Neurospora crassa OR74A: one gene and its partner. The protein of the gene in region 2 purifies or fractionates together with the protein of the main gene of each other region. This does not show direct contact. Links are inferred from orthologs where the notes say so. Each region holds a gene or a part of one and is shown on either strand. Other genes may lie near its edges. The genes, in order: NCU06039 and prk-2.

Region 1 (11,673 bases), on a different chromosome or scaffold from region 2:
GGTGAGCGACGACTTCCTTTTGCACGCCACCGGCGGCTTCTTGAGAAACCTTACTGATGAACCGCAGCTGCCACGCGATGCCGCCAGGTTTGGCTTCGAACTGAAAGGTGCTCCCCAATACTAACGGCTGCGTCAGGATTAGGAACAGAATGTCGGGGGTGAGCTGAAGGGCTGCACCATGGACTTCGCTTACACGTCTCTGTCACGGGGGAAAGAAAATCATATTATTAAATATCCTAATACCTCGTCGTTTATAACCAAGGTGCTTCGACTTTGCCAAATCCCCATTCCTCGTCTACTCTTTACCCTTCTTATTGTTCTTGTTAATCACTACCGTAGTCCTCATCTCAGAACCCCGGGCCAGAAGAAGGACTACCGTCGGCAGCCAAATATACAAGTCATTCTTGCAATTTTAGGAGAATCAATCGAAATGATAGAGGGAACTTTTGCTGTCAACGTTCATGACTCTCACCTCGGCCTTTTACGCCTCTGCCTCAGGGCCATTGGCTGTTCCTTTGCGCTTCCTGTCGCCTTGGCTGTGCTCTGCAAGAAGGCTTTGTTCGCATCACTGGAGATGATCTTCCATGTTCTTATCCGACTCCACTGCCTCTTTTCTGCCCGAGCCAGTCAACACCTGGCCATTGAGATTCAAAAGCAGGTTCATCAGTATGCTAGCCCGAAGAGCTCTACAGACAGCCTTCCTTCGCTCATCTCACCCGGTTCGTTGACATACAGCTCACACATCGGCGACCTTGACCTCGATCCCAACAACGACGACGACAATGAGCTCCCTTCGCTTCCTTATATCCCTCCGACACCCGAGGATACCAAGCGATGGGTCGAACTCTCTGCTGAAGCCCGTCACAGGGTAGCAAATGTGCAGCATGACGGTTTGAACTGGATGTCATGGAGTCCGCCCCCGAGTCCCCGTTTGCCGTCGCGTGATCTGCCAAAGGGTATCCCGGAGTGGAGGGAGGAATGGAGCGACTTCGACTTGCCTCCGAATCCTCTAGACATCCCGACGTCGGAGAGATTGAGACGATGGTGGGGTGAAGCTACTGAAGAGGACCGCGCCCGGATCAATCGTATCAGCACTGACGGGTTGAACTGGCGGACGTGGGACCCTCCTTCCCAACCCTCCTGTGACGGAGAGCCAGTCGTTTGGTCTGGGATTGGCCCTTGGGTTTCTGGAAATGGCGACGATGGCCTTCCATACGGAACATGTGCGACTGGTAACATCGAACAGACGTTGCACAAGCCGACAGTGGACCGGCAGTCACATGCACAACGACACCCTCAGAATGGATTGCCATCTTGGGAAGAGCTCCCATCCTCGCATGAAGTGCTTGAGTTTGCCGTTTCGGATACAGTTCACGCAAACTTGTTGCTGGTTGTTGCACTCACCTCGGCAGCAGAGCAATCTCAGGACGACAGTAAGGCAAGTTTTTGTCAAGCATCGTACAAAGAAATAGAGCGGATGTCACACAAGGGATGACCTGGATATATACGGATGGGCCATGTTGGTTTTTGTGGGCTCCTCGTCTGGTTGGTGAATTGACGACGGTTTCGGTTTTTGGATTGGATCAACATGGACGTGAATTTTTAGACCTCTCTTCGAAGCGAAACTTGGGACAGGTCACGTAAACGTGAGTATTACTCGTGCTTGGTTTGCACAGCAAGGCGCTCATTGCCGTGAGGAGATATTGCTAACGTATCGCTACGTCTTTAGGAACGACAAATTGACTTCGACTCCCATCTATGTGGCTGTTGGACGTGGAATGTTGATACCGGCTTGGAATATGCTGCATTGAAATTTGATGATGTTTGGCTGCCTCGAGCATTGCGAGACGATTTCAGGCGCATGACAATGACTTTACACGACTGTCGCAGCGTGCATGCTTCAAGGCTACGGCCTGCAGAGAAAAACGTCACAAGAGAAGCGAATTAGTATCATTGTATATATTTTCTTAACGTGACATAGGGGCCTACATCAGTCTAGACCACAAAACCACTGTTTTTCAGGAGTCGATATCTCCACAAACACAATATTGGCCTATGATTTCCCGTCGGAAGATGTGGATGGCTCAAGATCTGGTCTTTCGTCTTTATGGTTTTTATCTTTAGGCGAGTGATACCCAAATGCGTCGGTCTGGAATCTCTTCCGTTCAGACGGCTTGTCCTTCGTGAGCGGTGCGGAACGAACAACGGGTTTACTCATGATAACATAATCCGGCATCACTACCTTCCCTGACCGGAACTTTCTTGGTCCAGGTGAGATGTCATCCGTCCCAAACCCGTGCCTTTTGTAAAAGCCAAGGGCGCGTTTGTTGGATAGGAAACATGTCAACATCACTTTTGTGATCGGAGGCAGGTTAGTGGCCACAGTCACATGGAATCCCATCAACAGTGAACCGAGTCCGGAGCTGTGGCAGAGAAGTAGTCAGTGAGAGAACTGGTTAGTGTAGAATTACATACATGGCTATTTGGCCATATTTGCACACGATGGACCATGACACGGCGCGTGATGGAGGAATGAAAATTTTAATTATTATCGTTTTTTTGGCTTCTTACCCCTGTAACTCCGGCTTGAGATGAATTTCGTAGCAGTAGACGACCGGCTGACCTTCTTCATAGGTAGGCATCAAGGACGTGAAAGCACGTATAGAACCGGACGAGCCGTCTTTGACCAGGACGTAACGAAGATCGGGCGATCTCATTTCTTCCATCTTCTTCCTGGGTTGCCATTTATCTTTGGAGTTTTGATAGTCATCGTAGCTAGTCTCCTTGATCAGGTCGAAGCATGCTTTGAGTTCCTCCTCGCTGAGCTTCCCGGACTGGACCAAGCTAATGGTGTACTTGGTGCCGGTTTTGGGATGCGACCATTCGGTGGTCCAGGGTTTTGGTGGTAGTTGCGCTGGCGATGAGGGGTGTAGTGTTGAGGATGTTACGGATGGTTGGAGATAGTTGGCGATGAACTCTTTGTCTGTTTGGCGATTTGCCCTCTCGATGGGGCTCGTCGGCGCCCGTTGGCGTTTTGGTGCCATTGGCGTATGGGTGGTGGGATTGGATGAAGTCTGATGTCGCGTTGAAGTTGAGGTTGACGGCGTGGAACCCGAATGCTTACACAGTAGTTTCTATAGCAAGCAGTTGTAAATGACGGAAATCCTTTGCATCCTCGATTTCCACTTCCCGTCCAGGACCGCAGCACCACATAAAGCAACCGATATCAACATACAAAGGGGAGGTTAAAGCCACTTCTATTCTACGTGATGCCTCATCACACAAAGGTACTTTGTATCTGCTGCAGGGCCTTTCCTATTGAAGCATAGTGTGCATAAGTATCTTACCTCAACTTTGCTACATACCACACACTTCGATGCCAAGCCTGATCTGCTTGCTCCCTTCACTCATCCAAAGGAGTATTCTAATCAGCAAAGCTCGGGGTATGAATCAACCAATCTCATCACAGACACAAACTTCACCCTCATAACACCCCATTTCCATGAACCACTCAGCACCACTTGTACGGTGCTTGCCAGCTCTGCGGCTTTGCATTCGGGAATATGCAAGCCGCCCGCGGCCTCGTCTGGGGAACACACTGAGTTTGGAACATGTAAGTCGCTCCCACTCATCTCGTAATGAGGATGAGTTTTCCAATCTACCGTCTCTACTTAGTTTCTCCAAAGAGCCCGAGTTTTGGCCTTGTACCGCACCATCATGCGGGCGACCCGCCGGATTCCGGACCCGGCCACGCGTGCCGAGACGAGAAGGATGGCCCGCGCCGAGTTTGAGAGAAACCGCCATGTCACTGACCTTGTTCGTATTCCTCCTTGTCCGATTTCTCAATTTTGCTTGCGTCCCTTTTGCTACTGACACTGGCCTGTCTCACTCACAAGGACCACATTCGCTATCTGCTCTCGACAGGCAAGACAGAATGGGAAAATATGGAGAGGTATATTGATGGTCTGTAACTGTCGAAGAGACCATATCTCGCCTCGGCCTTCACCCACCGAAGAACCGTTCTCTTGTTCATGGGTCGCATTCCTTGTCATTTGGCTGAGGCCGTACGCGCTGGTATCATCCACACGACCAGACCGTTTCTGGGTTCGGTTTATCCCAATCTCGTTGCTGAATCGTCATGACGGGCCATCCCTTATGCTGGGCGACAAGAAAAAAAGGCCCGTTAAATGCCAGGTCTGATATACACGTCTCCGTATCGGCATGCGAGTCGGCGCTCGTTGTTCAAGATGGTCCTTTCGCCTAACGTATCGTACAGCCCAATCCTTCTATGTAGACCCGAAAATAAAACCACAAGACCAAGACCGTTGTTGAGCGCTCGTTGTACACACCATGTGCCACTCCACTGTCGATATCGTCATCGGCATGTTCACCGGTAGCCCTGGCGCTGCTTGTGTCTGGGATTCGCAGGGCAAATGATGTAGAGGTAGCCGTTTTGCCTCTTGTTGGCCTTGCGACGCACGACCTGTATAGATGTCGGGTTGACGGATCAGTCCGGGTCCCTACCTAAAACCTCCACACTCGCTGGCTTCCCAAGATATCTGAAGGGCCAGATATAAATATACATATATATATGCTGTGCTTCTCACCTTGCAATGCTCGCATCGCTTCTTGATAGCGGAGTGAACCTTCATGCCCCTCGATTGCTGCTTCGACTGCAGGCCGTTCTTGGCGCTTTGGCACACGGCGACGGGTCTGTTATGGGAGCACATGGGCGTGCAAATGTGGCGGGAGAGGAGGCCCTGAGAGAGGCATCGTGTCTGGTGTGTCGAGACAACGGTCTTGGTGGTGTTGACGGCAGTCGCGCGAGGAGCGGCGAGGGAAAGCGCGCGCATCGAGGATGCGAGCGACCGGAAGAGGTTCGACATGGTGACTGGTTGGTAATGTCGAGAGCGGTAGCCTGTAGTCGAAAGTAAGCCTTCCTGCCTGCCCGCCGTTGTTAGGTTGAATATTGACGCCGTCGAGGTGCTCGTCGCTGGGGTCGCTGGGGCGCGCGAAATCGAATTGTCTGCCGGCCCGTCAATCGACAGTGTGGGGTTTGATCAAGCAACGTTATGCGGCTTTCGTTCCGTCGGCTGCTTAAAGCGTATAAATTCCTAAACGCTTGCACCGTAAGATCTTATGTCTCTTTCGATGCAACTAAACGGGCTAAAACACACCAAAACTACCGCCAAGTACTTTCGATATGCACAGCTTACTTGCTAGTACTTGAAGTAGAGGACCAATTGAAGAGAGTTGCAGTTATTGAGTAGCTAAGCTATGTCTACACTAGTACCTTGTCCCCCGCAACCTTCACAGGGGGGCCGCTCTTCTTGACGCTGGGAGCCCGCTGTAAACCCGCCATTGATGTCGTCTCTCCAAAGTGGAAGTACACCCAACCTTCCCATCTCGTCTTCCTCCCACCTTCTTCTGCCACTTTCACGGTGACGAAACAAGCCGACAGCGAGGTGATTGTCACGGAGCTGCCGATACGGACCAGAACTGAGGCTTACCTACCTACCTCTCTCCGCCCTTCGGATATCCATACTCGTTGTGTCACTCTCTTGTGCTCTCGGTAACATCCCCGTCCTCGTCAGGCGCCCGTTCGGCTCGCACCATCACCTTCAACACCACCACCACACCGTAAACCAATTCCACCATCTCGGCGACCTTGGAAACAGCGCCCTTAAGCTCGCCCCGCCGCCCGCTTCTGCGCCATATCTTACCTATACATGAACAAGCCTCCAGCAATACCAGTCCATAACCTAATATCAAGCAGCGCCGCGCCCTGGCACTTCCCTTCTTGCCCTTTAGTCGCATCCCGCCGCTAGCGTCCACTCGAGCCAACGACCTAGGCGCCTCGCCTCCCGAACACAATCCTCAAGACCGCGACTCTTCAAGATCCTTCGTCCAAGATCTTCGTGTTGCCGACTGGCATTGGCACAATGAACCAGCAGTCACAGCAATATCAGCCGGCGCGCCGACCGAGTGCCTATGCCTCCCACGGCGACGAGCTTCACATGTCGGCACATCAGGCCCACTTGTCGTCGCCCCGCGAGTACGCGTCCTCCGGCGCACCACATATCAAGCTCGAGCAGATGCCCTCGAGCCCCCCCAACATGCAGAGCTATCAAAGCGCTGGTGCCGTACCCAATGTTCTGCAGCCCGGAGGCATGTCGTCTCGTCCGCCCGTCATGCAGTCCAACACGGCTCCCACTCTCCCCACGATGCAGCAGTCGGCCGACTACAAGTCCCACGGCTATGAGCGCTCCAGCCCTGCTACCCTGGCCTCAAATTCCTATGACGGCGGCAACTCGCCCTATTCCGCCTACAACCCGACGCCTCCAGGTGGCAGCTCTTCGTCGCAATACATGTCTCCCGCAAGCACCAACAAGTACGCGGCCGCTTCGTCATCTCGCAACGTCTCCAACACCCCGCTGGGACTGTCAGATATCCGGCCTCGGGCCGATTCCACCCTCTCTGATGGCATGCTGCCCGGTAGCCAGGCCTACGAATTGGCCAATCCCCAGTCTCGCACCAGCAACTACATGGCCCCTTGGGCTACGTACTCGTTCGACTGGTGTAAGTGGCGTCCCAGCGCAAACAGTGCCGGGAAATTGGCCATTGGCAGCTACTTGGAGGATGGCCACAACTATATCCAGATCTTGGAGGCCAATTTGACGCAGACACCACCCGATGTATACGTCCCGGGCACCTCCAAGTACTCCATGGACTTCACCCGCACCGCCGAGGCCACACACTCATACCCCGTAACGCGCCTGTTGTGGGAACCTCCTTCATCCCAGAAACAATCCACAGACCTGCTGGCTACCTCAGGGGACCATTTGCGGCTGTGGTCACTTCCAGCTGACCCCGTGGTCCCCACCAGTGGCTCTTCGATCACTTCGAGAAGCGGCCGTGACGCCCCCATCACCAAGCTTACTCCCCTAGCCCTCTTGTCCAACTCCAAGACGCCCGATCATACAGCTCCTCTGACCTCGCTCGACTGGAATACCGTTCAGCCTAGCTTAATCATCACATCGAGTATCGACACTACGTGTACCATCTGGGATATCCCATCGTTGACGGCCAAGACTCAGCTTATCGCCCACGATAAGGAGGTGTACGACGTTCGCTTCTGCGCAAACAGTGTAGATGTGTTTGTAAGCTGTGGCCAGGACGGCAGTGTGCGCATGTTCGATCTCCGGAGCCTTGAGCACAGTACTATCATTTACGAGCCCACAGGCAAGGAAGAGCGTGGTAAGTGTCACTTGTCGGCTTTCCGTTGGTCCCTATCTTTACAACAAACTGACCCATATATTTAGATGCCAATGGCGGCCGGATCAGTCCTACGCTGGCTCAGCAAACCATGTCGCACCCCCCACCCCTCCTGCGACTGGCCACGTCTCCGCATGACCAACATCTACTCGCAACTTTTGCGATGGATTCCAATGTAATCAGGATACTCGACGTTCGCCAACCAGGGCAGGCGTTGCTGGAGCTTCGGGGCCATGGGGGTTCCTTAAACTGCATTGAGTGGTCGCCCACCCGGAGAGGCACGCTTGCTTCGGGTGGTGACGACTGCCAGGTGCTCATTTGGGACTTGCTCAACCAGCCCTCCGGGTTGACCCCGGCAGGCCAGCCTGATAACGTGAGGAGTCCTGTGGCTAGTTGGCAGTGTGACTACGAGGTCGGGAACCTTGGATGGGTTCCTCCAATGGGCAATGGCGAGTATGGCGATTGGTTGGGAGTCAGCGCAGGGCGCGGTGTTTGGGGTGTTCGGTTCTAGTACGCCGATGTAAATCGAGATGGTTCCCGCTCGCGAGAACAGATACCAACCCAGGGTAGAAGGATGGGATGGGTGCATAAAATTCTTTGCGATGGAGAGCACTGTTAATCACGTTTCATACAGCCAGGCGTTTTGTTTTTCCGGGGAGGGGAAGGAAGGGGTGGGTGGGTGGGTGGGTGGAATATCCTATCGCGTAGAAGGTCATACTCGAAAAGGCACAATAAAACAGCGATTCGGCCTAGTCCGACTGCTCGTTATCACTCGACATTATCACTCGATACTGGAAGCGCCACATGAAACTAGTAAGGATTCTGTCATTCACCTCTTCATGGAACATTGGCTGGTACAGAGGAAAAAATAAAGGGAAAAAAAAACCGACAATGACCAGGAACGTGAGAGGTGTGAAAGCCACGCCATATTTAGCTACTCACCTACATCATTCCAGGGCATATTTCACGCATTGCGGAGTTTCTTACTCAGTGGATTTATTCGAGACACAAGCCACACTGGTGAATTTGTACGGAGCAGCCCCAAGGAAAATCCGTGTGCTTCTCCTGGAAACTTAATATGGGCTGAAGTTGTTCAACGGCCGGATATTCCCAATCTTCAGCAGCAGTATTCGCCCGGCAAGAATGGTCATCAAGGGTTAGACTTATGTACGTCGAGCCTTCTCTGCTTGAGGAAGACAGCCAGCACAAGTGCAGTGACCGAGCAGGCAAACGAGAACCCTAAGCAATGGTAACAGTGATCAGCAGTCCGTGCCGTAGAGACTTGCCAGAAAGAGACGCGAGAAAGGGAGTGAAGAGGGAGACTGACCGTGACTCCACCATAGACCGTCAATATACGACTGGACAACAGCATCCCTGACCTTATCGATTGCGCCGTCGATAAAGTCAACATCAGAAACCGCCTTCGATATGACCTATGGCTCCAAGTTAGCCTTGAGCCATTCCGCACAGCGAAAGACATAGCGACAAGCACAGGGTCAGGGCACAAACCTTGGCTACCTCAACGTTGTCATATCCTAGCTTCAACAGCCGAATCTCAAGGTTTCTTCGAAGCACGGTCTGCATAATCGTGTTCGCAGCCGGCAACCCAATCGTCATCCATACCGTTTGCATTAAATACATGAACGACACAGCAGGCGCCATGTGAGCCGGGTCAATGACCACCTGAAGCGAAATGAACAGCGCGCTGTTCGTGACCCCCATGCCAAAGCCTCCGGGGAAGATATACAGCGATTCGAACCAAGAGTTGGTGTTGCCGTGCCACCTCAGCATTAGGAGAAGATAGCCGATGGAGGAGCAGGTCACGGCCCAAATGACGAGGGACTTGTACCGTCCTGAGCGCTTGATGGCGGAACCGGAGATGATGCCGCCGATAGCGTTGCCCATAACGGCAGGGACGAGGTGCGCGCCCGCGACGGTGGCGGACGGCCGCGGCGTGGATGTCACTTGGAAGTAGAGGGGGACAGTGAACATGAGTCCCAACTGGGCGGCGGTTTGGAGTCCCAGGATCAAGAACGAAAGGATGGCGTCTTTGCTGTGGAAAATCTCCAGCGGCAGGATTGGCTCGGCCTGTCGCCTTTCTACTGCAATGAACAAGACGAGAAGGATAACGCTGGCACCGAGATAGACGAAAATGAGCGGGTGGGACCAGGGGATCTTGACGCCGCCGAGCTCTATGGGGAGAAGCAGGGCCAGCACAAGGGCCGCGAAAATGAACGAGCCCTTGAAGTCGATACGGCTGAACTTGCTCTTCAACTGGGTGGTGTCATCTGTCTCGTCTAGCGTGCCGGTGTGGCTGGGTAAATATGCTGAGCAAAGAATGATGGCGAGGGTTATGAGTGGCACTTGAACGCGGAACGACCTGAGCGTACTGGCGTCAGCTGGTTTCTACTATACTCGGCAGCAGAAGAGGCTTACCATCGCCATCCGACGACATCTGCCAGGCAACCTCCTAAAGATCCGCCAATGCTTCGGCCAAGGGTAGCTACGAGATTGACATACGCTCTCCACTGAGCAACTTCTCGCAGAGGAAGCAGATCTAAGGGGCAACTGGCTGTTAGTCGTCGCTGCAAACACTCTATCAGTTCATGTCAAAGCCATGCTTACCTGTGATGAGAACGGACACGAGTGCGGACATGCCAGAGGCTCCAGCACCGGATACAATTCGGCCCAGGACGACCTGCGACATTGTCTGGCCCATACCGACAATCGCACAGCCAACCATGAACATGGTATACGCGATTATCACCATCCTCTTGCGCCCATAGATGTCACTTAACTTGCCGTACTGTCCAGAGGCGGAGTAGTCAGCATACTCCCCCAAGGCTGTGTCATTCGATGATATTCCTCACCAAAGTCTGCGTGGCCGCCCCAGCTAGAGAGAAACTGATAATGAGCCAGCTAGAGTCTTTTAAGGCCTTGAACTCGGACGCAATAATTGCATGTGTTGCCATGAGAATGGACGTATCTGTCTGTGCGACGAAGATGCCTAACAGCATGACAGATATGATCTTGATGACATTCACGTGGGCGCTCTGCTTCAACGACTCGGTTTCGTCGCTTCCTAGACTCTGTTCCTCATCTCCCTCGGGAACTGGCTTGATAAATCGATTATAGATACCTTCCTCAGAAATACTGCGATAGGCGTGATAGAGGTAGTCGGAGCTGGGCTGCGCAGTGTCCCTCAAAAGAGGCTCTCGTTCTGTTTCTAAAGACGGCTGGTCCCCATGGCGTTGAACCATCTTTGCCAGTTCTTAAGCAAGAGCGTTTCAGGCCCGATGGGAATTCTGGGCCAATATAAGTACTTGTCCCCTCAAGATATCATTATGGAACATACCTTGAGATCATGGAATGCGCAAGATCACCTAAATCTAAACTCGAACTCGGAAACGCGTTCGAGGAAATACTCCCTTTTCTAAGAACTACCTGAGTGTCATCCCCACCTCTAGAGATTCATTCCGAACACGGAGGCCGACAACTCCAGAATCAGCTTATCCCCGAGATACCCTGCGGTACATGAAAGGCCGAGATAATCACGACATAAGTGTCTGGATTTCGTTAGACGGGCCCTTGTATTGCGAACAAGATGCTACCTTCCCACAAAATCGGTTGCAGAAACGACAAACATGAGCAAATGAGCATAGAGATAAATCGCACCATCTCGTAGTTTGACATTGGCTGCGGAACAGAGTTGCCATGGAATCTCTTATAGTAACGCTCGCATGGTGCAACTGCGCCAAACTAGCACGCCATCGATGACTTTACGCCAACCTCCAAGCCCACCAACGCGGAAACATCGCGATGCAAAGGAGCAACGCTTAGCAATCACAGCCCCAATCCGAAGTCACACTGACTCGATTATATGACGATGAAAACATAATTTGCCGGAGTTATCCCAACAATGATATGGGTCATAGATGTTGCTAGGATCCCGACCTTTTGCAGTGCCCAGGGCGTATTTATTCGAAACCTCATGATCATTGTTTACTACCCCTGGGAATCCCTTCAGTCTTACTGTTTTTCAACATCAGAGCACTTTGTCACAAAACCCATTCAGAATGCGCTTTTCGGTGGTAACTCTCGCAGCAGGCGTACCACTATCAACCGCTTTTGCCGTAGACAGCGGACAAAAATCTCTAGGCTTCGAACATAAACCAAAGGGGACGACAACGGAAGGGGAAAAGAAGAGCCCAAATATCGTCTTCATTCTTACCGACGACCAAGACTTGCATTTACAGTCGCTCGACTATCTTCCCCTGCTCAAAAAATACTTGGCCGATGAAGGTACTACATACAAACGTCACTACTGTACAACGGCCATCTGCTGCCCTGCCCGAGTTTCTCTGTGGACCGGAAAACAAGCCCACAACACCAACGTCA
Region 2 (11,541 bases):
GTGAAGTATTCGGTGATGTCTCTGTCGTTGGCATCTCGTTTCGCATCTTCATGTTCCTTTTGTTTCTTGGCTAAGAGGGAGGAGAACGAAGGTCAGTACCAGAACCAGAGTGCTTTATAAGTTGCTCCCATCGTCGGGTTTCAGCGTCTCGATCTGCTCACACTTGCGCGGCTTGCTGCCGGGTAGGCCTAATTCCTCCTCGCTGTCGCTGTGGTACTGGGGGAGACGGTCCCATTCTTCGCGGCCGTCGTCGGCATAACCCTCGCCATTGTCGTCAACCACGAAATCGTCCTCGTTCAAGCGGTCTCTGACGATTTTCTTGTACTGGTTCTCGTCGACTTCTTCGTAGAGCTCGTCGATCTCGCCGACGTCGTAGGTCTTCTTCTTGCCGGACTGGCGCAGTTCGCGCAGCTCAGCGTACTTGTCTCGCTTGGCTACTCGTCTGGACATTTTGACAGGCCGTTGTGATGTTGCCTTTAGGATTGGAGATTGGATGGTGACGAGACAACAGAGGAGCACCAGGCCAACACTCTGGAGAGAATGTCGACGGGGCCACCGTGATGTGGTAGTGTTGGTGACAAGAGTCGTAAGAGAAATATAGTGGGATTACAGGGTTCAATTGGTCCCCTCCAGTAACAAAAAGAAAGTCGCGTTTAGTTTCGTTACTCGTCGCGTACTTTACTGTAAACTGTAAGCGCGAACCCTTGTCCCCGTCACGGTCGTGTTTAAGAGGTGGGGCAGTTCTGCTGCTTTGGCCTAAGCGGATACCTAAGGAAAGCAACGTAGTGGCCCACGTACATAGTGTACGTACCTTTCAGCAACGGGGCCCCTGTCAGTGTACCTGATGCCGACCCCCGACCCACCGCGTCTCCACAAGTGCAAAAGGCCGCGGCAGGCATTTTTGTAGATCAGTCTCCAAAATTTCGGAATGTCATCCTAACTTTTGGCCATCATTCACGGTCTCCATCTCAGCATCATCCTCCGTCCAGAGTCCAGGGCAGTTGTGCGCCCGCCGCAGCAAAATACCAAATATCGATTTCTTCCCGGGCCATAGCTTTGATACCACATCGCCCAATTCTCAAAGTTGTCTAGAACAACAGGAAATCGTCACAGGAAACTCGACGATCCAGATACCCCACCAACCGACCATTAGCAACACAGGTACCTCGGCCCGTACCTCGCAGAAGAAAAAGATTCAAAACAATCAAGGGCAAACTCGGTTGTCCGCAAACCATGTTTGTGTGCCGGGCTTGTCTGCGGAAAGGCCTGGCTCCTGGAGCTTTGGCTAGGATAAATGCGCCTGCAGTTGGATCTCGTCTGGCCCTTCCAAGGTTAGGCGCACTTACACCAAGCCAGTCCACGACCACCATACGATCCTACCACTTGCCCGCCCTCAAGCCAAAGACTGCCGCCGATCCCTCCGTTACCCTCGATCTCGAAGCGCCGGAAGGGGAAGAAGATGGAGACGGGTCGGAAGGGAAGAGGAAGAAGAGGGACCTGAGCGACGAGCAGCGGAAGAAGCTGGAGCGCAGTGCGGCTTTACAACTAAAGCACTTCAAGGATCCCTTCCACATCGAGAAGCAGGTCAAGTTGACCCTTGACAAAGGAAAATATGAAGAGGCCCTTGTTCTCACCCGCAAGGCCAGCAAGAACGCAAAGGTCCAAGTCTCGTGGAACCATCTGATCGACTACCACATGAAGAACAAGCGTCTGTCTGCCGCCATCAAGATCTACAACGAGATGAAGAAGCGCGCCCAGGTTCCAGATGCCAGGACTTACACCATCATCTTCCGAGGCTGCGCCATGAGCGAGCACCCCAAGCAGGCAGTTGCAGAAGCCGTCAAGATCTACCACAGCTTGCTCAGGAATGAGCGCGTGAAGCCAACCACAATTCATCTTAACGCTGTCCTCGAGACATGTGCCCGCGCCGGCGATTTGGACAGCATGTTCACGACAGTACAAACAGCCAACGAAAGCACGCGCAAGCCCGACAACCTGACCTATACAATCATCTTCAATGCCCTTCGGGCCCAATTCAACCCACGACTGCCACTCGATCGGGATCCCATGCAGCGCGACCAAGAAGATATCAACCGGGAGAAACAAGAGGCCATCAACAGGGGCTTGCAAATATGGGAGGATGTACAGCGTCAATGGAAGAAGGCCAACCTCATGATCGACGAGGAATTGGTTTGTTCCTTTGGAAGGCTCCTGACTTTGGGTACCAAGGAAGACAACGAAAGAGTTTTTGAGCTTCTGTCCTCATCCATGCAGCTCCCGCGATTCCATGCTGGCGAGAAGGCAGCTGCCCAAGTGACCGCTAAGGCCGTAGACATAACCACCACGCCAGTGGTCTCATCTGAAGCAGCCTCTCCAGAAGCCACCGCCTCAGAAGCACCAGAAACGACACCAACGAAAACCACCACATCTGGTTCAACCACACCCACCGTCCAGCCTATCGAAACCAAGCCCAAGTTCGATAAGAAACCCAAATCCGTCACCCACAGTCCCAGCCTCTACGCCAAACCAGGCAACAACACCCTCTCCCTGATCCTCTCCGTCCTCTCCAACACGCGCCGCACCTCGCTCGCCCAAAAGTACTGGGACCTGCTCACCTCCACACCCTACTCCATCAAGCCAGACAAGGACAACTACTTCCGCTACTTGCGCGTCCTCCAAATCGGTCGTGGCTCCGCCGCCACCGCGGCAGTCCTCCAGTCCATGCCTGCCGAGTTCATCACGCCCATGATCCTCAAGACGGCCTTCACGACCTGCATCCGCGACGAACTAAACCCGCACGCCTTTTCTCCGCACGCCTGCACCATTTTCGACGTGATGACCAAGAAGACCCGCTACCCGGACGCCATCGCCATGCGCCTGTTTTTGCAATCCGCCCAAGGAAATTTCCGCCACATCAAGAAGATGGCCGAGACCGACCCCCTGGGGTCCCGCCAGGCAATGGGCAAGCAAATCATACTCGCCCTCGACAAGATGTGGCAGCCGTATCGGATCATGGTCAACCAATACTCGTACCCGATTGGCAGTCGTGTGCAGGCGCAGAGCCCGGAAGACGCGTGGAAGGCTGTGCGGGCGCACATGTCCGAGTGCGTGGTCACCGCTCGCCGGATGATCAGTGCCATGGACAAGGTCATGTTGAATAGCATGTGTGCCGATGACGAAATCCTCAAAGTGCTGAAGCGACGGAGGGTGATTTTGCAGAACATGGTGGAGCGGTATGTGGCCAAGGACGGGGACATGATGGGTAGGTGGAGAGAGAAGATGGTGGAGCGGTATGGGGAGGCGGGCCTGAAGAAGCGAGAAGCGGAGAAGAAGGGGGCTAGTAATGCCGGGGAAGAATATGAGTTTGGCCAGCCGAAGCCTAACGAGTTTGAGAGGAATCTTAACAAGAAGAAGGAGGAGGCGGTTGCTGCGAATGAGAAGAGGAAGGCGGAGCAGGCACAACGGCCCAAAGAGGCAGAAGAGGAGAACGAAGAGGATGAGGAAGAGGAAGAGTGGGAAGATATTACGGAAAGTCGTTATCCCAGAGACAAGACGAGGAGTTTGAGGAACGAGTTGCGGAGGGACGAGAAGAGCAGTTCCAAGTACGGGTACCAGCAAACGAGTAATAACAGCTCGTCATGGTCGAGAGAGAGTCAAGGAGGGAAATGGGATAGGGACAGCCAGCAGGATCGGTGGGGCAGCAGCGGGAGGAAACCCAGCTGGTGATGAATGGTGGATAGGTTCTTGTTAGATAAGGCTGTAAGTTAGTTTGGTTCCGGATGATTGCCCGGCAGATGATCATTTACTGTATATATAAATACACTTTTTTTGATACCTCAATTGGTCTTGTTGGACATATGTGTGTCTCTATGGTTGAATACAGTATGTTCTTCATATTCTCCCCCTTTTCCCTTTTTCTCGTGGGAGTATCTGTCTGAGCTCCATGGGACCAATGGTAAATAACTATACTACAAGAGAAAACCTCGCCGGCGAAAACACACTGAACCGCACAAAGGTAAGTAGGATAACAACATCAACAGTTGGTGCTTGAGAGTTCTATAATAATGCAGGCAGGATGCCTACCCCTGAACTCGCTCCCTTGGAGATTCCTTTTCGAACAAATGCATGAAGCACATATCAGCATCATCAAGAGAAGATACCCTTCGTGCAGCATATCATACTATCGTTACTTCTTTCTATAAATCCTGCTCTGCTGCCATCTGCCTGCTCCCTGACTTTCTTCACTCTGCACCGATTCTCTCTTCCCCCTTCCCCCGTTCGATTCCGCTCGGCAACAAAACCAGCCCTCCCAACAAAAGTGACGATGCGTAATGACAATTTTTTCGGTAAAGAGAAAAAGAAGAAGAGGTATCGTATCTGTGAGTACAAACTGAATGGTACAACAACCACAACGAAAAGCCCGCTTCCCTACCAACCACAATCCACCTTCCCTGGTCCAGCAATTTATGCTCAATGCCATTGACTTTGACCCTGACCTCCACCGTTCCCGCCCATAAACCCTTCCTCCAACGTCCTCTCCTCCAAGTTCCTGATGAAGTCGCGGTTGTTGCCCTGGCCCCGTCCAGACGCCTGAGCACGGCTTCCCCTCCTCGGCATCCTTTGGCTGGGCTGCGAGTCCATTCCCATGAGACCGTCTGGTGGCGGTGGGTAGTAGGCCGGGCTCGGTTGCAGACGAATTGGCTGGGTGGGATCAAGATGGCTCGCGACGCGCTGGATGGACACAGGAATACCACTTTGCTGTTGCTCCATTGTCGAGGACCGTTGCCTCTGGCGCGCCGCCGCCGCCGCCTGTTGCTGGGCGTACAGATTTGACTGGGACACGCCCGCGTAGTTCGCTGGAGGCATCTGTACTTGCGGTACCTGCGGCTGCTGTTGTTGGGGCATTCCTTGTTGGGGGTATGCGCCCTGCTGAGAGCCGTAGGGTGGAGGCGCGCTAGCGTGACTGCTGCTGCCACCAGGAGCGTAAATGTTGTTGTTGGAATACAAGGGCTGAGGTTGCGTGTGGGTCTGCTGGGGATATTGCTGCCCAGTGGCCATCGACCCGTAAGGGTTTTGGGCCTGGTTTGCCGCAATGGCGTTGGCTTGCGCTTGTTGCGCCTTTTGCTTGCTGAATGCCTCGGCCTGTATCTGCTGTTGAGTTCCCGGGGCTGGTGATCTGTTGAGCGAACTTGACTTGAGGTTCATGGGCGGTACAAACGGTCCAGTAAACTTCGATTGGGTGATGAAAGGATGTAGCTTGGCTTGTTGAGGCGACCATCGTTCCAAGGGATTGATCGTCAGCAGACCCCTGACAAAATCGATGAAAGCGATACGGTTGTTCATTTCTAGGACAAGGTCAGCTTTTATAGCCGAACACACCGAATGCGCTCGACTCACCTCTGTCAATCTCTGACTGCTTCATGTTCTTCCTCGGCATCGGGTACGTCTTGATAATCTCGGGTAGTGTGTTGGCTTGGAAGTACTTCTTGCTAGGTTGTTCCTTCGTGCCATGCTCCCGAGAGTATTGCTCCATAGACTTCAGGTGGTAGGTTTTTCTGCCGAACTCATCTTGCCTCTTCTCGAAGAACTCTCCTGCCTGCTTGCCCATCTCGATCATCCAGTTTGGAGGGTTTCCCAGCATCTCGACGATTCGTGACACCTGGTTGTACTCGGAAGAACCGGGGAAGAGGGGAAGACCCAAGAAAAGCTCAACCACAATGCATCCCAAAGACCACATATCAATAGCCGAAGAATAAGGCAAGCCAAGTAACACTTCAGGAGATCGGTAGAATCTGGACTGAATGTACGTATAGACAGTCTGCCGTTCGTCGCAAGCGGATCCGAAATCGATAATTTTGATGATCGGGCTCTCGAGGTTTTTCAGGAGAATGTTCTCGGGTTTCAGGTCGCAATGGATCAGTCTTGCCTTGTTGAGCAGAGAAAGCCCATTCAGCAGCTGCTGCGCAAAGACGCGAACCAGTGTCGTGCTCAAGCCTCGGAACTGGTTTTGCTTGATCAGCTCGTATAGGTTGACACTAAGCAACTCGAATACCAAGCACAAGTGTTGGCGATGGATAAATGTATCCTTTAGTCGCAACAGATGGTGATCGTCGTTTTTGTCGAGCTTTGTATTGAGCTGAGCAGGAGGTTAGCGCGTGTCGCAAACAATCAAGTCAACAATGCTGGTAAACGAACCAAATCCAAAACAGACACTTCCATCATGCTTTGGTTGAAGTAAGCTGTTCGGTTCTTGATGACCTTGACCGCAACAACTTCTTGCGTCTTCAAGTTTTGGCATTTTACGACCTGGCCGAAGGTACCCTGGCCAAGGACATCGAGAATCAGGTAGCGGTTCCTGGTACAAATATGTAAGTGACTGCTTCTCGACTCGTGGTGGGCAGCAACTTACTTATGACCAGCCTCCTCCGAGCCCAGGATGTCATTCACATAGAGGATATAATCGCTGTCCTCGTTGTCATAGCCGTCATTCTTCACTCCCTTGCTAGGCTTGGTAAGGACGCGCCGAGGATTCCTAGACGACTCGTACTTGAAGCCGGGGTTGCATATTCGGTAGGTGGCGGGGAGGTGAACTGTTAGCGCTTGGAGGGGCTACCGTGGTTCGTTAGCAAGCTGCCCAAAGCTATTTCTCTCGCGAACTTGTACATACACTGATAAAGCCGCCTTCCGGGTTCGCTCGTCGATGAGCCGGCTGCTTGTTAATCTTTGGTCGAAGGTCCTGGGGTCCTCGTATTTTCCTAAACTCGGGAACTGGCGTCCTTTCGGGCATGGGCATCTGTTGCGACTGCGAGTTCATGCGCCTTGGCGGCGACTTGGGGTCCATATAAGAGCCGTCCATGGTAGAGCTGATTGCCGAGTTTGGATAGCTGTGGTCGTGTTGAGCGGGTGCGTATGGGTTGATGGGGGGAAGCTGTTGGGATGCTTGACGGCTGGTGTAGTAGGGGCTCTGTTGCTGTTGCTGCTGCGGCGGCTGCTGTTGCTGTTGTGATTGCGGCGGGGCATATTCGTTCGGTCGCGTAGGGGATTGACGTTGGGCGGGGGAGAATTGGCTTCCCTTGGGGTATTGGGAGGCAGGCGAGAGCGCCTCCATGGGCGAGTATCGCTGCGCGGCAGCAGATGGTTCTTGGGACGTACTAAGGCTGGCGGGGCGACCACCGGAGAGAGAGTGATGCGGCCTCAGGGGGTACTTGATGGTAGGGTTCTGGGATGAGTATGGATCGTGGGCATCCTGCATAGCGACGTCGCCGTTGGCGTCGCGCGACTGGGACGACGTCATTGGGGAAATGGAGGAGGACTGTGGTTGCGCGCTTGGGTTCAGACCGGCCTGGTACGGATCATACTTGTATCCGGCCAGCGGCTGCTGCTGCGCCTGGACCTGGCCGTTGCTGGCGTAGTCTCGAGGGGACATGGACATTTGGCCGGAACCGTTGTTGTATCTCCTGGACGAGCCGCTGGCGGCAGAGTCAGAGTACGGTTGCCATTGCTGCTCCATGGCTGCTGGCAGGGCGAAGGCCAGCTCGCGGGACGGGCTCGGGGCTGTTGCTGGGTCTGGTTTGGCAATGAATTCTGTTGCGGTGGCCGGTGGTGTCGTCGGCGCGAGAGGGGGGAAGGAGAGGGAGGGTTTGAAGCTTTCGAAGACGATGGACTCGGGTCGCTGGCTGGCAGGTCACAAGTGTGGGCCTGATGATGGAGGTGCGGACCGCGGACTGCCTGCTTGGGTGGTGCGCACTAGAACTAGAGGTAGTGACTGCACCAGTGGGCAGTGGCTACCTAGGTTCTGCTACCTCTAGTGTACAGTCCAGTACTGGTTTGTTTGTTAGCTCGAGACCTCGTGTCAACTTTCCTAAGCATTTTCATAGCTAACTAATGTATAATCTTACTTTGGGCAGGCCATCTTTCACATTCAAAATGCCAAATTAAATCCAACTAATACCTTTTAATTTATCTATTTAACCTTTAGGACTATTCGAAATAGATTTTGTCTAGTATACTATGTTTATTATTGTACAGTAGGAGTGCCTGGTGTACCAAGCTAACAATCAAACCAGCATTGGACTGTAGTAGCCTCTGTACCTAAAGTAACTACCTCTGGGCTCCACTGGTACTGTTGGGGCAGCTCAAAGTTTAGGTAGCCAGATGAGTGCCCTGTCCTGGGCTGTTGGTGCCGTCGAGAGGACCCGCTCTCTGCTTGCAACAACCTGTGTACGGGGAGGCGGAGAGGGCAAAGCGCAAGGAGCAAAGCGGGCCAAGCGGTGCCAAGGCGCTGCGAATAAAACCTACTCTCTCCTATAGGAATGCCAAGTAATCCCTGGTAGCCAAAATCTTTCCTTTCAGCTCGGGCAGTACAAAGCTGTGGTGGGCTGTCTCGTGGATGTGGATTAGACGCGGTTCGGTTGGACGATTGGGACGGACGGGCAGAACAGAGACGGCCCGGGAAGAGGTTTTGGGGCTGTTGGCGGGCTGTCTTTAGCCAGACCTACGGGCAGGGTTCAGTCGGCCAGGTAGGTCGCAGGTAGGAGGAAGAGACACCAGTTAAATGAGCCTCCGTCGCTTGTTGCTTCTCCAGCTGTAATCAAGAAGAAGGGAAATACAGTACGTCAGAGAAAGCAGCAGGACCTGGAGGAGGAGGACGAGAATGAGGACGAGGCAGTGACCAAGCAGTCACGTCCGGGCAACAAGGCTGTACACCTAGAGGTACACAGAGTACGGCAGGGAAATCGCAGTCATTCGCACCATGTGCAGAAACAACGGGGCTTCCGTCGAGACCGATCCGTAGGCGGTTCCTGTTCCGGTTGCTCGTGATAGTCGGTGGATTTCGTATTTATTCAAGGGTTCCCAACGTTATGGTGAGGTATGCCCAGACAGGGTACACAACACAGGTGGGTTGAATTGGGTGGTGAGAGTCTGACTCCCCGCCCGCCAATGTTGTGTCAAGTGGAGGAGCCCTTGCTCTCCAGTTTTGACAACGACGACGACGACGACGTAGATCTTGAGACTCCCGCGTCGAGAACCTTCAATTTCAGTCTCTAAGGAGTAGGAACTTTAGCCTCTGCCAATAAATGCACCAAATGCAGTGCAGAAAGCCAGCCGGTTCCTAACCTGGCCTGATGATTTCGAATCTGCGCTTCATGTGCACTTAGTTTTGTTTTTGTGTCTTTCCAGGTTGAAGGATGGATCGTTGTGGGCGTGCAGCTGGCTGAGCAGTTCAGCGCAAGCGGTTGTCTAGTGAAACATCTGATATTATGCCCGCAATGTCCGGTATGTTAGGCCGGTACTGCTAATTTGTATAGCCACCAACACCAATACCTTCACCAATACATAACCAACAACCTGGACCTAAAAGGTCTGACCATGAACGCCTTTGGCGCCAACGGTTGGTGTTTGACATGGCTTTTCTCTTCTCGACCGCATCCCTTCTTTGGTTACGTTTCTTCCCTTACTCCCTTTGCAGATCTCGGGTCCTAATATATTATGAAGCTTCATGATTTTCAAGTTGGTGGTAATCGGACAAAACTCTTGGCGTACGTTTTCGTCGTCCGGTTGGAGCTGCAAACAACCACCGGAGATCATTCATGATGCCCGTCATTGAGACACATCCAGATAAAGTGGGGAGTACTAAAAGGACCTTGAGATTGAACGAAGAGTGCCTGCCCAGTCTCCAGCAGGTGGCGTTTCGACAGGCCACGCACGCTGCAAGCAGCCAGGGCAGCCCATCTCGCTGCCCATCCAGGCGAAGCGGTCATAAAAAAAAAAAAAAAAACCCGAACTGACCTGAAGCAACATCATCAATCGATCCCAGCTTGAACGTCAAGCTGCAACAACAACAACAACAACACCACACAACTCCGCACCACCAGTACTCAATACGAAGAAAGAAAAGAGGCAGCTTTCTAACGAACCTATTTTGAAATGCCTTTTTGACCGATATGATAGTTGAGAGTCGAATCAAAATCCACCCACCTACCTTGCAACTGATCGCATCGATGTGTTGGGTTATTTTACGAGGCCATCCCCATCCATATCCACATCCTGTTCAGGCGATCAGCAACCATAATCCAGGCAGTCCCTCGTTCAGCGCCTATGCTCCTTCCTCCTCACCTTTCACCCTCACCACGATCCACGACCCCGCGGTATTCCATATGTACTGCTAAAAGGAGATTACATACGCAGTGACAGGGGGTTGAGTGATTGCTTGTTTTAGGTTGGCTTGAGGACCTGGGGGATGCAAACCCACCTTTGTCGGACTTATTCCTCGTATGTATGTAGTGTAAAATTTCCCTGGCCACGACCACGACGAAAGATGACGGTACATATGTATCATCGTCGTCGGTGGGAGATCATATCTTTCTTGACTGCTTCAATGCTTCCTTGCATTCACTACTTACTCGGACAAACAAACAAACCGTGTCCAGATACCATTGCTTTACTTTACTTTGCTTTCCATCCGTCCCTTTTTCCCATCCACGCACTCCATTATCTGTCCCAATTCTAAACACACCGACGGCCATCACCACCAACTGCAGCAAGCTACTAATACCATACACCATCAGGAAAGATGAAAAAAAAAATAAAAAAATGGCGGATATCAGAGGGTCGTCAGTGACAGCGTGGACCAATGACTCTTTCCAAACGCCTGCACCGCTTTTGGAAACGAGCTGACAACGGCTGGGAGTCTGACTGAGTCTAGTCCTAGGTACTATGTAGCTACATAATCTGACTTCCAATATCCTCTCTGCCTCTACCTCTGGCCTCTCCGACCAGACCGTCGAGCCTTGGGGATGTCGCGACTTTCAGTGCATGATATCCATCCTGGTCCGTGTGTCTCGTTTCACACGCATCACCAATTTGTATCAACCACCATATGGTGAAGACAAAATAATATTATGTACTCGGACCAGCCAACATACATATCCCAGTCAGAGTCCCTTGACATTTTTGGGGGGGGGGGGGGGGGGGGGGGGATTTGTTTTTTACCATTTACTCCCGTCAAATTGGGGATTTCGCGCAGTGCGTGTAACACGGAGTAAGTTGCAACCTACCATAGTACTAGCAAGGCATGTGAGATCAGCATGGGTGCGGGTGGTGGTTTGGTTCGTTCGGTTCATGGGATCGATTGGGATTGGGCATCAACTTGTTGCTGTCCAAAAGCCCAGGGATGATGATTTGGGATGTGACATTGTTCACCTGTGACGAGACAACCCTAACCCTGATAAGCGCTCATATGTAATTGCATCCCAATCGCTCTCAAGGCTGGATGTAAGCGCCCTCGTTCCTGGATAAGATTGTTGGTTGAAACCTTGGACATTACATTACACCTTGGGTATATTCTCACTACGTAGCCGAAGCGTCTTGACAACTCCTTTGAATTTGATTCCCAGGTAATTCCTGTATAGAACCATGCCAAAAGGACTCTGGCCGATGTCTTTTCGAATTATCGTATTCCCTATCACAGTTTTGCAACGGCCTTTCATGATTATCAGAAGTGGTATCGGATTGATCTATCTGACCAGAGGGCTGGTCAGA

The links.
Region 1: the proteins of prk-2 (region 2) and NCU06039 purify together in Saccharomyces cerevisiae (affinity purification with mass spectrometry; 3 studies listed by BioGRID). This does not show direct contact. The link is inferred for Neurospora crassa OR74A from reciprocal best matches to the Saccharomyces cerevisiae genes YAK1 and YPL247C.

What each region holds. Positions count from the first base shown.
Region 1 is NC_026507.1:2,007,038-2,018,710, reverse strand, and holds NCU06039 (WD repeat protein), read left to right. Parts: upstream 1-5,338; 5' UTR 5,339-5,942; coding exon 5,943-7,257; intron 7,258-7,322; coding exon 7,323-7,786; 3' UTR 7,787-8,045; downstream 8,046-11,673. Other genes in the region: NCU17225 (hypothetical protein), read left to right, coding at 431-1,433, 1,607-1,644; NCU06037 (hypothetical protein), read right to left, coding at 2,054-2,423, 2,572-3,044; NCU17224 (hypothetical protein), read left to right, coding at 3,503-3,961; NCU06038 (ribosomal protein L36), read right to left, coding at 4,388-4,483, 4,608-4,886; NCU06040 (hypothetical protein), read right to left, coding at 8,722-9,655, 9,712-9,832, 9,901-10,081, 10,146-10,535; ars-1 (arylsulfatase), read left to right, coding at 11,352-11,673.
Region 2 is NC_026503.1:1,184,597-1,196,137, forward strand, and holds prk-2 (protein kinase Yak1), read right to left. Parts: upstream 7,773-11,541; 5' UTR 7,511-7,772; coding exon 6,668-7,510; intron 6,610-6,667; coding exon 6,410-6,609; intron 6,356-6,409; coding exon 6,196-6,355; intron 6,137-6,195; coding exon 5,398-6,136; intron 5,346-5,397; coding exon 4,471-5,345; 3' UTR 4,043-4,470; downstream 1-4,042. Other genes in the region: NCU07870 (DNA polymerase alpha catalytic subunit), read right to left, coding at 1-70, 162-450; NCU07871 (hypothetical protein), read left to right, coding at 1,234-3,726. UniProt on the Saccharomyces cerevisiae protein: Negative regulator of the cell cycle acting downstream of the cAMP-dependent protein kinase. Part of a glucose-sensing system involved in growth control in response to glucose availability. Phosphorylates POP2.